Linked DNA regions of Macaca fascicularis. The protein of the gene in region 3 purifies or fractionates together with the protein of the main gene of each other region. This does not show direct contact. Links are inferred from orthologs where the notes say so. Each region holds a gene or a part of one and is shown on either strand. Other genes may lie near its edges. The genes, in order: KDR, CD22, PTPN6 and CD72.

The links.
Region 1: the proteins of PTPN6 (region 3) and KDR purify together in Homo sapiens (affinity purification with western blotting; 3 studies listed by BioGRID and IntAct, with this or other methods). This does not show direct contact. The link is inferred for Macaca fascicularis from reciprocal best matches to the Homo sapiens genes PTPN6 and KDR.
Region 2: the proteins of PTPN6 (region 3) and CD22 purify together in Homo sapiens (affinity purification with western blotting; 5 studies listed by BioGRID and IntAct, with this or other methods). This does not show direct contact. The link is inferred for Macaca fascicularis from reciprocal best matches to the Homo sapiens genes PTPN6 and CD22.
Region 4: the proteins of PTPN6 (region 3) and CD72 purify together in Homo sapiens (affinity purification with western blotting; 3 studies listed by BioGRID). This does not show direct contact. The link is inferred for Macaca fascicularis from reciprocal best matches to the Homo sapiens genes PTPN6 and CD72.

What each region holds. Positions count from the first base shown.
Region 1 is NC_088379.1:78,786,530-78,790,093, forward strand, and holds part of KDR (vascular endothelial growth factor receptor 2), read left to right. Parts: intron 1-1,447; coding exon 1,448-1,562; intron 1,563-1,649; coding exon 1,650-1,813; intron 1,814-3,564. UniProt on the Homo sapiens protein: Tyrosine-protein kinase that acts as a cell-surface receptor for VEGFA, VEGFC and VEGFD. Plays an essential role in the regulation of angiogenesis, vascular development, vascular permeability, and embryonic hematopoiesis.
Region 2 is NC_088393.1:42,563,444-42,567,580, reverse strand, and holds the start of CD22 (B-cell receptor CD22), read right to left. Parts: upstream 2,842-4,137; 5' UTR 2,671-2,841; intron 1-2,670. UniProt on the Homo sapiens protein: Most highly expressed siglec (sialic acid-binding immunoglobulin-like lectin) on B-cells that plays a role in various aspects of B-cell biology including differentiation, antigen presentation, and trafficking to bone marrow.
Region 3 is NC_088385.1:7,882,810-7,886,846, reverse strand, and holds the start of PTPN6 (tyrosine-protein phosphatase non-receptor type 6), read right to left. Parts: upstream 2,826-4,037; 5' UTR 2,663-2,825; coding exon 2,649-2,662; intron 1,684-2,648; exon of another isoform or gene 1,535-1,683; intron 999-1,534; exon of another isoform or gene 811-998; intron 1-810. Other genes in the region: C11H12orf57 (protein C10), read right to left, coding at 3,464-3,615. UniProt on the Homo sapiens protein: Tyrosine phosphatase enzyme that plays important roles in controlling immune signaling pathways and fundamental physiological processes such as hematopoiesis.
Region 4 is NC_088389.1:63,785,654-63,788,831, reverse strand, and holds part of CD72 (B-cell differentiation antigen CD72), read right to left. Parts: intron 719-3,178; coding exon 573-718; coding exon of another isoform or gene 568-572; intron 1-567. UniProt on the Homo sapiens protein: Co-receptor of B cell receptor (BCR) that plays both positive and negative roles on B-cell functions. Recognizes the Sm/ribonucleoprotein (RNP) self-antigen ligand, and coligation of CD72 and BCR inhibits BCR signaling.

The DNA.
Region 1 (3,564 bases), on a different chromosome or scaffold from region 3:
TGGAAGAAAATCTGCTTATAAGTGGACTCATGTAGTTCAAATTTATGTTGTTTAAGGGTCAACTGTAATTGAACTGGAATTAAATTGAACTGGCTTTGAGTAAATCACCTTAATTTTTTGTTAATTCTCTTTCATTTACATAAATGTCTGAGTTTACATGGTAATTTGTGTGGCATCCTACTTATAAGCCTTGGAAAGGATTTTGGATTTTATATCATGAGAATGCATCAATAAAGTGGAATTGTAAAAATACCTTAGATAATACTATTTATTAGAGTTGTAATCACAAAAGTGGCAACAACTACAACAAGTATGATTTAGTGAGCCCTTACTTTATTAGCTCATCTCATCTTAGTAGTTGAGATTGGAACTCAAGTTCCTGACTACAAAGCTATGCTCTTGACCTCTAGGTCATGTGGCATCCCTAGCAAGAACTTGAAAGTTTCTTCTGAATGAACAAAATAGAAATCACTAAGTGTCCTAAATTTATTTAAATTATTTCACTTGCCAAGATGCACTTGCCAAAATACACAGAGAGAGACGTGCTCTGGCTTATGTTTTGATAGAAGTACTCTTGTTCTCCAGGATACTTCAGGGAAATAGGGGCAGAAACAAGGAGGTTAGTTGGGAGGCTAATTACGTTTATCCAGGTGAGAGTTGAGGAGTGGCTTGGACAAGGGTAGTTGAGGTAGAGATAGTGAGAAGTGATCTGCTTCTGGATATATTTCAAAGGTAGAGTCAACAGGGTCTGCTGATCAATTCACTGGTTGTGGAGTATAAGGGAAAAAGAGTGGAAGATGACCCAAGTGTTAGCAGGAGCAACTGAGTAAATGGTGGTGGTATTTACTGAGATGGCAAAGATCGAGGAGGCAGTGAAATTTAGGGAAACAGTGTTAGATATGTTTCTCTGGAGATGCCTATGAAACATCCAAGTGGAAATGTTTAATATATCAACCTGGAACCCAGAGGAGTCAGGGCAGAAGGCACATATTTAGGAGGTATGTGAATGATACTTTAAACTTGAGGCTAGAGGAAGGTGTAAATAAAGAGGACGTCTGAAGACTGAGTCCTCGGGCCTATTAACACATGGTGGAAGAGGTGTGTGGAGTGTGTCTTGGGAGCAGAGGAGAAGGAGCACCCAAGCATCTCTGGGGGACTTAGAGAAAGCTGCACAGAGGAGCAAGTGTTTGAGTTGAGACTTGAGCAATCACTAGGCTTATGGGAGTGCACTAGTGGGGAGAGAAAAGCAAATGCAAGCACAGGAGGTGTGGGAGAAACACGGGAGGTGTGGGAGAAGCTGAAATGTGACCCACTAAAAGGTAGTACATGGAATCTTGGAACTGCAGCTACTCAGACCCTCAATGTTTTTGATGTTTCACTTGAAATGAAAAACTAAACCAAACGACCATTTACAATAAGCTGACATTTAAAAAAAAATTTCTTGCAGAAAAACCTTTTGTTGCTTTTGGAAGTGGCATGGAATCTCTGGTGGAAGCCACGGTGGGGGAGCGTGTCAGAATCCCTGTGAAGTACCTTGGTTACCCGCCCCCAGAAATAAAATGGTAACTACTAGAAATAAACACAAAGCATCATTTCATGTGAGAGCAAATCCTTCGACTGTACTAATTCCTGAGAATTCTTTTTCATAGGTATAAAAATGGAATACCCCTTGAGTCCAATCACACAGTTAAAGTGGGGCATGTACTGACGATCATGGAAGTGAGTGAAAGAGACACAGGAAATTACACTGTCATCCTTACCAATCCCATTTCAAAGGAGAAGCAGAGTCACGTGGTCTCTCTGGTTGTGTATGGTGAGTCCATTCAATTTTCCTCTCTGCCCAAGATTTATTATGATACATTGTCTTCCTAATCAGCCAGGCCACCATTCCTCTGCCTCCAGCTGCTTCACTCACATCATGGCCGGGCCTATGTACAAAAGTCATCTGGGGTGGTGAAGCTGAAGTGAAATGTAGGACTGTGTGCTCTGGCCATGTTTGTTTAAGAGGCCATGTAAATGAGCTTTGTGGTGGTCAAATGCAAGATTAAAGTAGTGATACCCTCCATAGTTTAAATGTTGTGAAAAAATAATGCCCACAGGGACAGTTGTCAAGTTAAGTTATACTACAATGTTCCCCTCTCATGGAATTGCCCACCTGGCACACAGATGTGTAAGACCCTTCTCCTTAGATTTTGTGCAAAGCTTCTAGTTTGATATTATAGTTGATGTATCAGTGAGGTACAGGCAGATTCCAACTCTGAAGGCTTTTGAAGTTGGCATTGTTGGCTTGGTTGGGGGCTTTTTTTTTCCTTTTTGACTGGAGTTCAGGGTCTGATTTTGAGTCTGTAAAGGCAAAATAGTACGTTTTTGATTTAAAGATGATTTGAACTTTGTTTTCTGAAACTGAAAGGTACAAATAAGTGTTTGGAATGGAATGGTGAGAAGGGTGCCATGGTCAAGTGAGTGTGAGAGGTGCTAAGGTGATGTGTAGATGTGTAACAGGTTTCTTTATTACAGGGACTTCTCAGAACCTTTTATATACTAATGTATATTGGTATTCTCTAGGGGGAGAGACATAGAGTATTCAAGGTTTAACAAACCTATTTGACTGGAGCATCGTTTTTCCCCTGAGCAAATTCATTAATCTCTCACTCCAAACAGTTTGAGAAATGCTTCTCTGTTGTAATTCTTTGTTCCCCCTTCTGGTATGGCATATTAAAACTTCAGGATATTTTCCCATGGCATTAAGGTGCTTCCCTATGTGTCCTAATACTCTTCTGTAGGCTGCTGAACTTGGCGTTATTTTTTTTTTTCAGGGAATATTTTAAAGATAGGTTGGGCATGGTGGTTCGCATTCGTAATCCCAGCACTTTGGGAGGCCGAGGCGGATGGATCACCTGAGGTCAGAAGTTCGAGATCAGCCTGGCCAACATGATGAAATCCCGTCTCTACTAAAAATGCAAAAATTAGCCAGGCATGATGGTGGGCGCCTGTAATCCCAGCTACTTGGGAGGCTGAGGCAGGAGAATCACTTGAACCCAGGAGGTGGAGGTTGCAGTGAGCCGAGATTGTACTCCAGCCTGGGTGACAAGACCAAAACTCCGTCTCAAAAAAAAAAAAAAAAACAAGATAACAGGTTCCACAGAGGTTCTTCAGAAGCAGCATAGGTGTAGGGGACTGGGGAGAGGAGAAACTGGAAAGTGTATAAGTAGGATGGGAGGAGAAAATGAACGGGAAATAAAAACAAAACATGGATAGCAAATAGCCCATTTCATCAGTTCATGAAGCCACTAAATCTTCTATTCACTTTAGCATATACTCTGCTATGTGAAATAAACATAAAAAAGAAGTCAAGTCTTGAAAGCATAACCTGAGGCTTTAAGTTGACAGTAGTAACGAAATAGTTTTGACTTTGGAGTCAAAAAAGAAAGAAAGGAAAAAGGGAGAGAAGAAAGAAGGAAGTGAGAGAAGGGAGAAGGAAGAAAGGGGAAGAGGGAAAGGGAGTGGAGAGGGAGGGAGGGAGGAAGAGGGAGAGGGAATGAAAGACTCAGATGGTGGTGGCAG
Region 2 (4,137 bases), on a different chromosome or scaffold from region 3:
TCACATGTGTTACAACATTCTTTTTGTTTGTTTGTTTTTTGAGATGGAGTTTCGCCCTTGTCCCCCAGGTTGGAGTGCAGTGGCTCGATCTCAGCTCACCGCAACCTCTGCCTCTTGGGTTTAAGTGATTCTTCTGCCTCAGCCTCCCCAGTAGCTGCCTGACACCACGCCTGGCTAATTTTTGTATTTTAGTAGAGATGGGGTTTCACCATGTTGGCCAGGCTGGTCTCAAATTCCTGACCTCAAGTGATCCACCTGCCTTAGCCTCCCAAAGTGCTGGGATTACAGATGTGAGCCACCACGCCCAAGCGTAACATTCTCAAAATGACAGAATGATAGAGGTGGAGAAGATGAAAAGTTGCCAGGAGTTAGGGATGGTGGGGGAAAGTGTTTGACTATGAAGGGCGTAGCACAAGGGAGGTCTTTGTAGTAACAGAATAATTCTGTATCTGGACTGCAGTTGTCATTATATACATCCAGATGTGATAAAATGACAGAACTGTACACACATATTATACAAATGTCAAATTCCTGGTTTTGATACTGTCCTGAATGATTTAGTCGAAGTAACCATCAGGGGATGCTGGGTGAAGCACACACCAGACTTCTCTGTTCTATCTTTGCAACTTCTGTGAATCTATACTTACTTTTTTTAAAAAAAGAAATTTAAGACAGTCTCCCTCTGTCACCCAGGAAGGAGTGCAGTGGTGCGATCATAGCTCATTGCAGCCTTGAACTTGAGGTGGGCTCAAGCAATCCACCTGAGTAACTAGAACTACAGGCATCAGCCACCATACCCTGTTAATTTATGTTTTATTGTTTGTTGAGTCGGGATCTCTCTACATTGCCCATTCTGGTCTCCATCGCTTGGCCTCAAGCAATCCACTTCCTCGGCCTTCCAAGATGCTGAGATTACAGGTGCCAGTCACCGCACCTGGACATCAATTTTTATTTTCTTAATTCCAGCAATCTTAATGGGGGACTCCAGGCCAGGTGGCCAGGTCGCCAGGTCCCAAAGGTCTCAGGCAGGGGACCCTTTGGGACTTGAATTCCTGCTCCTCACCTAGAAGGAGTAGCTGAGGTTTCTGCTGGCCACGGCGCCAGGTGTGGCTCATAGTCTTGCTACAGGAGGGGATTGGACAATGGGTCTGTGGACGTGTCTTGATTTCCGGAGGCCAAGGGCTGCGTGGAGAGGGCAAGGGAGGAGGAGCACAACTGAGAATGCAGCCTCAGCGCTTTCACTCTTCCTCCCCGCCGTTCCTCCAAACAGGTCGTTGGTCTCCTTTTTTGGTGACTTGACTGTCACCCCCTTACCAGGGAAGCATTGAAAGCAGGCAATGAACAGAGTCCCTGAGAGCCCTGGGTGGCCACTCCCTGCCTGGCTGTGTCCCCCTCACCCCCCCCACCTCTGCCCAGGACGGTAAGATGGGAACAATGATAGTGCCTTCCTCACAGGGCTGGCGACAGCACACACAGGACACGCTCAGCAACCCGAACATCCCATGACAAGCATGTGGTAAACAGACGTAGGTTCCAGTCCCAGGTCTGCCATGTGTTTGCTGTGACATCTGTCGGTTTCCCCTCCCAGGGTGATAATAAGATTGCTGTTACGACTTCAGGGCTGTGCTGCGACAGGTCCCCAGTCCTTACAGCACTTTGCACGGTGGCTGCTATGGAACGGGCTCTCTGTGAAAGTGAGCCGTCATTATTCCAGACATTGTCAGGTACCCTGCTGACCCATCACTCCCTGCAGACATCAATTCACGCACCTCTGGCTACTCAGCCCCAGCCTGAGCTTCACAGAGAGACCCTTTGAGACGAAACTGTCATTTCCTTCCCGCTCCCCGGGCAGATCGTGCTCTAGGGTGGGAAGGGGTCTTTGGCTCAGCTGCCACCAGACTTCTCTGTTCTATCTTTGCAACTTCCTCTGATAATTATTTCAAAATTAAAAGAAAATTTTTTTAAAATTCGCGAGGTGAGGTTGTCACCTCCTGTTGAAGGAGCAGCCTGGAGTTGAGAGCGAGAAGAATGGGGATAGAAAGAGGCTTGGCTACTTCTCCTCTTTTTTTTTTTTTTTTTTTTGAGACCAAGACTTGCTCTGTCGCCCAGGCTGCAGTGCAATGGTGCAATCTTAGCTCACTGCAACCTCCACCTCCAGGATCCAAGCAATTCTCCTGCCTCAGCTTTCTGAGTAGCTGGGACTACAGGTGCGCACCACCACGCCTGGCAAATTTTTGCATTTTTAGTAGAGACAGGGTTTCACTATGTTGGCCAGGCTGGTCTCGAACTCCTGACCTTAGATGATCTGCCCACCTCGGCCTCCCAAAGTGGTAGAATTACAGGCATGAGCACCACAGTCGACCTTTTGTTTTCTTTTTTAGCGACCGAGTCTTACTCTGTTGCCCAGGCTGGCGTGCAGTGGTGCAATCACAGCTCACTGCAGACTCAAATTCCTGGGCTCAAATGGTCCTCCTGCTTCAGCCTCCTGAGTAGCTGGGACTACAGACATGCGCCACTGTGCCCAGCTTATTTTTAAGCATTTTTTTCCTACATACAATGTCTGCTATGTTGCCTAGGCTGGTCTTGAACTCCTAGAAAGCACTTCTCAGCAGTGCAGTGCATCTCCATCCCTGGCCAGTCGCAAGAGCCCAGCCCTGCATGATCACCCACCTGGGGAGGAGGCTCTGGAGTGGCCAGTGCCGCTGGGAGCTCTTTCATCAAGGAGGATAATGGAGCTGCCTGCCCCAGGCACCGTCCCAGGGACAGGGTGGGAGGCCGGCCAGGGATGGATCGGTCATCTCCGTCAGGAGTGACTCAGGAGGTTGGCAGACCGGGAGGGACAAAGAGACCCGTGTCATGACCATGGCCTGGTGCCTGGGTGTCCTCCCTCCCGCACATGGTGGCCCAGCCCTCCTGGCACGTGAGGCCATGAGACCTTCTCACCTCCCTTCCTGCCTGGCCAGCCCTCATCTCAGCATCTGCCCCCATCTCTCTGAGTCACTATGTCATGTGTTCTGATTCTTCCTCAGCTTGGCATTTCAGAGGGAGGGGGTGCCATCTGTCTTCCCTGTCCCTGAGGGCCTCCCTGGGCGTGAACTCGGCCGGAGTAGGTCACTCTTGCGTTCTGCACTGAACCTGCCCCTCGCGCTTTCTTCGACCTCTTAAGGAAGCAGCTGGAGTCACCTTTGACTCTTCAAGTGAGTCCTGCCACTTCCTCCTCCAAAATGGGTCCTGACCCCACTCCTCTCTCCATCTCCACTTCCTCTCTCTTGAACAATGGCCAGGGCCTCCCAGCCCTGTCCCTGCCTCCACTGATAGCCTGTGTTCACTGTCCACGCAGCTGCCAGTAGGCCTCTGAAGCCTCAAGCCCTCCATCACACCCTCTGAGCTCACTTTTCCAGCGGCTTCTCAACGTGCTCTTTGAAAGCCCAAGTTCCAGCTGGGCGCGATGGTTCACACTTGTAATCCCAGCACTTTGGCAGGCGGAGGCAGGCAGATAACTTGAGGTCAGAAGTTCGAGACCAGTCTGGCCAACATGATGAAACCCTGTGTCTATTAAAATACAAAACTTAGCCAGGCGTGGTGGTGCATGCCTGTAATCCCAGCTACTTGGGAGGCTGAGGCAGGTGAATCACTTGAACCCGGGAGGCAGAAGTGGCAGTGAGCTGAGATCACGCCACTGCACTCTAGCCTCAGCGACAGAGCAAGACTCCATCTCAAAAACAAAACAAAACTAGAATTAAATTCCATTGCTGGATGGGGTGGCTCACGTCTGTACTCCCAGCACTTTGGGAGGCTGAGGTGGGTGGATCACCTGAGGTCAGGAGTTCAAGACCAGCCTGGCCAACATGGTGAAACCCGGTCTCTACTAAAAATATAAAAATTAGACTGGCGTGGTGGTACATGCTTGTAATCCCAACTACTCAGGAGGCTGAGGCAGGAGAATCGCTTGAACCCGGGAGGCAGAGGCTGAAGTGAGCTGAGATTGTGCCACTGCACTCCAGCCTGGGCAACAGAGCGAGACTGTCTCAAAACAAACAAATAAACAAGCACCAGTCCTGCCTGTGGCCTACAAGACCCTGTGTGATCAAGCTTCCTTGGGCAACCACTCCACCTCCATCACTCCACTCAAGCATG
Region 3 (4,037 bases):
CGGAGCCTGGTGCCCTTTCCACCACCAACCATACCGCAGCAGACAGCGTCGGGGTCAGATGGGATAGGCACCACCACAGCCCATGATGGAAGGTGGAGGAAGAAGTGCTCCCCCAGAGGCAACATGCATCAGGGCAAAGGGGTGGCACGCACAGAGTCCACATGTGCAGTGCCTGGCTGTGAGCAAGCTGTGTGGCTGGAGCAAAGCTGCTCTGAGAGGTTGGGACCCTGCTGTAGAGGGTCATTCAAGGCCAGGCTGAGAAACCAAGGATGGAATCTGCACCAGGGGAGGCCTGGCCAAGCTATCTGGCAGGAAAATGACCACGGAAAGGATCAAGCACCAGAAGACTCAGTTGGAACCCCATCGGTGGGGCCGACAGTGACAAGACGTGCACTGGGGCAGGAGCAGATGTGAGTGTGAGAAGCAAGAATCAGCAGGGCTGGGGAGCCACCCACCCACAAACTCACCAGTACTCTGTAATCAGGTTGTCACTTTTTCTTTTTTGTATTTTTTTTGGGGATGGAGTCTCTCCCTGTCGCCCAGGCTGGAGTACAGTGGCGCAGACTTGGCTCACTGCAACCTCTGCCTCCCAGGTTCGAGCAATTCTCCTGCCTCAGCCTCCCTAGTAGCTGGGACTACAGGTGCGCCCTACTGTGCCCGCCTAATTTTTTTTCTTTTCTTTTCTTTTCTTTTTTTGTATCTTTAGTTGAGACAGGGTTTCACTATGTCGGCCAGGCTGGTCTCGAACTCCTCCCAAAGTGCTGAGATTACAGGCGTGAGCCACCGCGCCCAGCCAGTTGTCACTTTTTCTTTCTTCTTTCTTTTGGCCAGTTGTCACTTTTTCTTTTTCTTTTTTTTCTTCTTTCCTCTTTCTCGCTTTCCTTTTCTTCCTTCTTTCTCTTTTTCTTTCTTTCTTCCTCTCCTTCCTTTCTTCCTTCCTTCCTTCCTCTCTCTCTCTCTCTCTTTTTTTGACACAGAATCTTGCTTTGTCACCCGGGCTGAAAAGTGCAGTGTCACAATCACAACTCACTGCAGTCTCAACCTCCTTGGCTCAGGTGATCCTCCTGCCTCAGCCTCCCAAGTAACTGAGACCACAGGTGCGTGCCACTATGTCCAGCTATTTAGTAGTAGTAGTCGTCATAGTTGAGATGGGGTCTCTCTGTATGTTGCCCGGCGTGGTCTTGAACTCCTAGGCTCAAGTGATCCTCCCACCTCAGTCTCCCAAACTGCTGGGACTACTACATGCTTGGGCCATCACACCCAGTATTTTTTTTTTTTTTAATAGAGATGGAATCTCTCTATGTTGCCCAGGCTTGTTTTAAACTCCTGAGCTCAAGCGATCCTCCCATCTCGGCCTCCCAAAGTGCTGGGATCACAGGCATGCACCACCTCATCTGGCCAGGTTTTCACTTTCAACATCCCAGATCCAACAAGGTCTAACCTGCCGTGGCCCTGCCTCTGCTCCACGAGGGCCCTCTGCCACGGACACACGGTCCTTTTTTTGTTTGTTCCCACATTAGGGCTTTGTGCTCACCATCTCCTCTGCCCAGGGATGCTCCTCTGCCCAGGCCTTGATCACCACATCACATGGCTGGCTCCTCTTCCTCCTCAAGCAGGTCTCAGCTCAAATGTCACCTCCTCGGGAAGGCCTCCCCGATCCCTCCAGCTAGTAATGTCACCTGCACACCCAGTCACTTGCTAGCACATGAAGCTGGTTCATTTTCTTTTTTTTTCTTTGAGACAAGGTCTCGCTCTGTCGCCCAGGCTGGTGTGCAGTGGTGCAATCACTACTCACTGCAGCCTTGACCTCCCAGGCTCATAGCTGGAACCACAGACGCATTCCACCATACCCAGCTAATTTCTTATTTTTTGTAGAGACAGGGTCTCACTATATGGCCAGGCTGGTCTCAAACTCCTGGGCTCAAGCAATCGTCTCGCCTCAGCCTCCCAATGTGCTGGGATCACAGGCGTGAACTACTACACCCAGCCGAGGCTGTTTCATTTACTGCATAACACTTCTGAGAATCTGCAATGATCCAATTTATTGGGTTATTTGTTCAGTCTGTAACCTCCCACTGGAATGTAAGCTCCGTGAGAGCAGGGACCATGTCTGTCTTGTTCACTCCAGTATTACCAGCATCTTAAACAACACCTGGTGTGTAACAGACGCTCAACACGTACCTGTTGAATGAATGATGCAGGGGAACGGGAAGTGAAAGGAAACGGAAGGAAGATGGGACCAAAGTCAGATGTTGGGAAGAGCGGGGAAGTTGGCTGGGCATGGGAGGGCCTTCGCGGGTGGCCTCTGATTGCTGTTTCAGGTGTTGTGAGCTACCCACGGGGGACAGGTCCTAAGCAGGAGACAGAAGCAGGAGCCCAGAGGCTGGAAGTAGAAATGCAATGGAGAGAACAGATACACACTTGTCAGGCGGAAAATGTTAAAGATGGGGCAGAGGGGCATGAGTGAGCCTGGGGGTCCTCACACTTTGCGGGAAGGGGAAGGTTTATAGGGATCGGAAGCAGGCGCATGGCAGGGCAGCAGCAGATCGCACTCACGCTCACATACATGATGGAGTGAGCATCAACAAGGCCCTCCCTCCCTCCAAAACTAACAGGAGACTAGGACCCAGGTGGTGCCTGGGACTTACCCACAGGACAGCATCTCTCTGTAGGGATGGGGAAGTCACAGCGGAGGGCCACAGTGGGCGGGGCTGAGCCAGGAGCACAGCTGTGCACAGCGGCCCAAGCCAGGAGAGGAAGAACCACTCAGAAATCAGCCACTTCCTCCTCGATCCAGCCTGCCAGGCCAATGGCACCGCAGGGACAAACCCTGGACTAATAGTCTCCGGGAAAAGGACAGGTGGGGCGGGGCTGGCCTGAGACCGCCCACAGTGGCCAGCTTCCCTGCAGCCCCAGTGCGGGAGTACAGCAGGCCTGCCCGCTGGGCCAGGGCCCCCTTCCCTCGGGAGAGGAGGAGCCACCTGGAGCTCCACCTGGAGCTCAAGCTGACAGAGCAGCGGGACGCTGGGTAGGAGCAAAGACCAGGAAGTAACCCTGGCTGAGGGAAGAGCAACCAATGGGGGAAAGCTCTCAGTAGGTGGAAACCAAAGGGCCTAAGGGAAAGTCCTAACAGCCCAATTCCTCAGAGAAGGAGGTGTCCCCAGTGCAGGCCCGCCCACCCACCCAGAGCGTAGAGGGGCCCAGTCCAGCCTCTCACCCTGCCCTGGGGGAAGGGGAGGAGCCTCAGGCCCTCACTGGAGCAGGGTTAGGCCCAGCCAGGAGTATAGGAAGGAGCTGTACATGGGGATGGGGCCTGGAAAGGCAGAGGGAATCTGGGAAGGTGAGATGGGGGTTGTCAAGTCTGCAAAAGACTGACACCAAGGCTAAGTCACAGGCACGTTTATTATCGTCTGGAACATCAAGGCCTTTTCTTCCCTGGCAGGGGCACAGGGAGGGCCAACTCTCAGGAGGCAGCCACGCTGCCACCAGCAGCAGGCCCGTGGGGTGGCAGGGTCATGGGCGGCAGGAACAGCGCCTTCAGCTTGCCTGACAGGCTGGCGATCTCAGGATCCTGGGCTTCATAGGACTTGACCAAGCGAGCAAATTTAAGGACACCTGCAAGAGGGAGTGGAGGGTCAAAGCTTCTTCCAAGGACCAGCTGCGTAAGACAGCTGGAGGGGGTGGTAGTTTAAGCATGAACTGCTTCCCCACTGGCTGGGCAGCTGTTTGCAAAACAGGACGCATGCAGGCCTCTGTCCTATGTGGTTTGGATCAACTTCTTGGTCTACACTGGGCACAACTAGATGGGATGCAGTGAATGAAAATATCCCAAGGCAGTGTGCTTCTTGCTCTCAGGTGAACCCTTTTAGCAGTTTAGTCACTGGAACCCCATGAATGAACACGAGACCCCAGGTCTGTAGCTGGAACGCAGGAAGGCTATGGGGCAGCAGAGCTGAATCAGTCAGCACCTTTGGGGAACACCAGGATCTCACCAAAAATTTAACCACCAACCCCCAAACAGAAATTAGCTGAAACAC
Region 4 (3,178 bases), on a different chromosome or scaffold from region 3:
CAGCTACTTGGGAGGCTGAGGCGGGAGAATGGCGTGAACCCGGGAGGTGGAGCTTGCAGTGAGCCGAGATCACGCCACTGCACTCCAGCCTGGGAGACACAGCGAGACTCCGTCTCAAAAAAAAAAAAAAAAAAAAAAAAACAAAAATACAAAAATTAGCTGGGCGTGGTGGTGTGTGACTGTAGTCCCAGCTACTCGGGAAACTGAGACAGGAGAATTGCTTGAACCTAGGAGGCAGAGGTTGCAGTGAGCTGAGATTACGGAATTGCACTCCAGCCTGGGTGACAGAGTGAGACTCTGTCTCAAAAAAAAAAAAAAATGTAGATATGGTTCCTAAGTTTCTACTCTCATGCCAACTCTAATCAGTTAGTAGGGGCTGCCTGGACCACTGTGCTGAGAAGATGCAGAGGTTGTTTCCAAGCTCAGAGGTCAAGAGTATTGTGATTCTCAGTTTCTTCCACGGAAAAGGAATGGCCACCCCAGCCATGTATGCACTGCCATTCCTGACTTGATGACATATGTCCCTTTACCGAATAGTACCCACCACAGTCTGTGAGTAAGGATATGCTTACTGATTGTTGATAAATTTCACTGAATGTGACCAGCTTGGAAGACAGAGTTTCACAATGTTTTTGGCTCTCCTGCCAAGTTTTCGAAGTAGGTGAGATGTAAAAGCAGCTTTTCTGATGCATTGTCCATCCCATCGGACAGCAGGTGTCTAAAAAGCAGAAAGAGTGTGATAGCAGCAACAGTTGGGATGAAAGTAACTACTCAGCAGTCTTTTGCTAACAATATTCTCCTAGGGCTAATCTCAGCACCTTCATGGACTTCTATGATCTTTGCAATCTTTCTTTCCTTTGCATCCCCTGGAAACACCGTACCTGTCCTTACTTAGTAAAAAGACTTTAACATTCAACAACATTACTTCTTAGCAATCTAGGAGGTTTGTCTTAATAGGGCTAATTTTATTACCCCAATTTCTGAACAATTGCAGTCCACCCTGACACTTTACCTAACATCTCTTGGGCCCATCTCCTCCACTCCCTAAAGCACCCCCCACTGCACATCCAAGACTTCCACTCCTCCAGCACTGGCCCCCTCCTTCCCTCTCCAATTTCCTACAAGCCGAAAATGTTGGGTCCTGTTTTGCAGAAACAGCTCTCTCCATTGCCCTCAAAATTTCTCTTCTCTGTTCTTCTTTTCCTGACTATCCATAAGAAATAAATATCCCTCTTTCTTCAACATCCTACATCCCAATCTGCACTTCTGATCCCCAGACCACCTCTCTCCATTGCTTTGTTCCATCAGTCCTACCTTCATCATTCAAAAATCATTCGCTCCCCACTAGCTCCCTCTCTTCTCTCTACATGATCTCATGTCCCCACCCTGCTACTCCCTTGAGTTACTGTCCTATGGCAACTTAAAGGAATAAAAAGAAATCCCTGCTGGGCACAACGGCTCACATCTATAATCCCAGCACTTTGGGAGGCCAAGGCGGGATGGATCACCTGAGGTCAGGAGTTAAAGAGCAGCCTGGTCAACATGGTGAAACCCCACCTCTACTAAAAATACCAAAAAATACCCAGGCACTATGGTGCACACCTATAATTCCAGCTACTCGGGAGGCTGAGGCAAAAGGATCGCTTGAACCCAGGAGGCAGAGATTGCAGTGAGCCGAGATCACACCACTGCACTCCAGCCTGGGAGTGCACTTCAGTCTCACAGAGTGAGACTCCACCTCAAAAAAAAAAAAAAAAAAAAAAAAAGAACAGAACAGAAAAGAAAAGAAATCCGTATGACCAAATGGAAGAAAGTGAGGGGATAAGTGGAACACTGAAAGGTAGGCAGGGGTGTTGGAAGCTATGTTAAGGATTTTTTATTTTTATATTATGAGAAAGAGAAAGTCAGTGTAGGATTCTACACAGAGGAATTTTGTTCACTAGCTATATCCCAAGTGCCTGGGCACAGTGCTAGAACATATTATCTGTTATGTATTCCATAACTGTTTATGTAATCAATTAACTGGAATGCTCTAGATTGGGATGACATGATCAGATTTTTGTAAAGAATTACCCTGGCTCCAATATGAAGAATGGACTGTGGGGAGAGGAGTGAGTAGGAAAAACATTTAGAAAGTTGTTGCAGCTATCCTTGCAAAAGATGAGGATGGGCAAAAATCCAAATGGATTTATAGACTTGGTGATGGGAAGTGGAGGGAATTCCTCTCAGAATGGAAGGTGAGGGCATGTGCTGAAAGTGAGGGAGAAGGAGTTATTATGGAGAGCAAGCTAACCACTGCAGAGGTTGCCAGGCAGTGCTGAGAGACTAGAGTCTCAGTGGCACTGAGCAAAATGATTCCACAATTTGTCACACCTTGGTGCTGACTGTGGGCAGTTGGGTTCATCCAGAGTTGAAATTTTGCCCATCAGGTGCACTAGAAGGATAACGGAACAAAGAAGTGAGTGAGCCATGTGCGGTGGCTCACGATTGTAATCTCAGCACTTTGGGAGGCTGAGACAGGAGGATCGCTTGAGCCCAGGAGTTCGATACCAGCCAGGGAAACATAGTGAGACCTTGTCTCTATTAAAAAAAAAAAAAAAAAAAAAAGTGAGTAGTAAAAGTGATGGGCTCCAAACCCATGATAGGTAGGGAGAGAAGTGTGGACAGGAGACAGCTGATGGGAAGGGAGAAAAAGGGGAGTCAGCAGATTGGAGGCCTCAATGAGATAAAAAAGTTTGGGGAAAACCTGGAGGAGTGGTGGGCAGCTGTGATCAGAGTGGAAGTCTGAAACCATCCTTTTGCCAGAAGAGCAGTTTGGGATGTAGAGGTCTAAGGTGCTGCTAAGAGAATGGGCAGCCCTGGCATGGAACTGATGGTCACAGAGGTTCAGGTTAAGGAAATGAGGGCAAGGGGCGTCTGCACATAATCTTGCTGTCTTATGCCTGGGGAGATCGACCAGATGACCCCAAGCTAGACAGAGCCTAAACCTGATCATAGCCCAAAAACACCCCAGTCCCCTTGGGCCTGGCACCTTGCCTAGACCCTCAGCCTGTTTTGACACAGCCTTGCCTCTTTTATGTGTCCCTTTCCCCATCTCCACCTACTGGCTGGGGTCCTGCTTTCAAAATGAATGGACACCCCATCCTAGTTCCCTACACCACAACTCCAGGCTCCACCT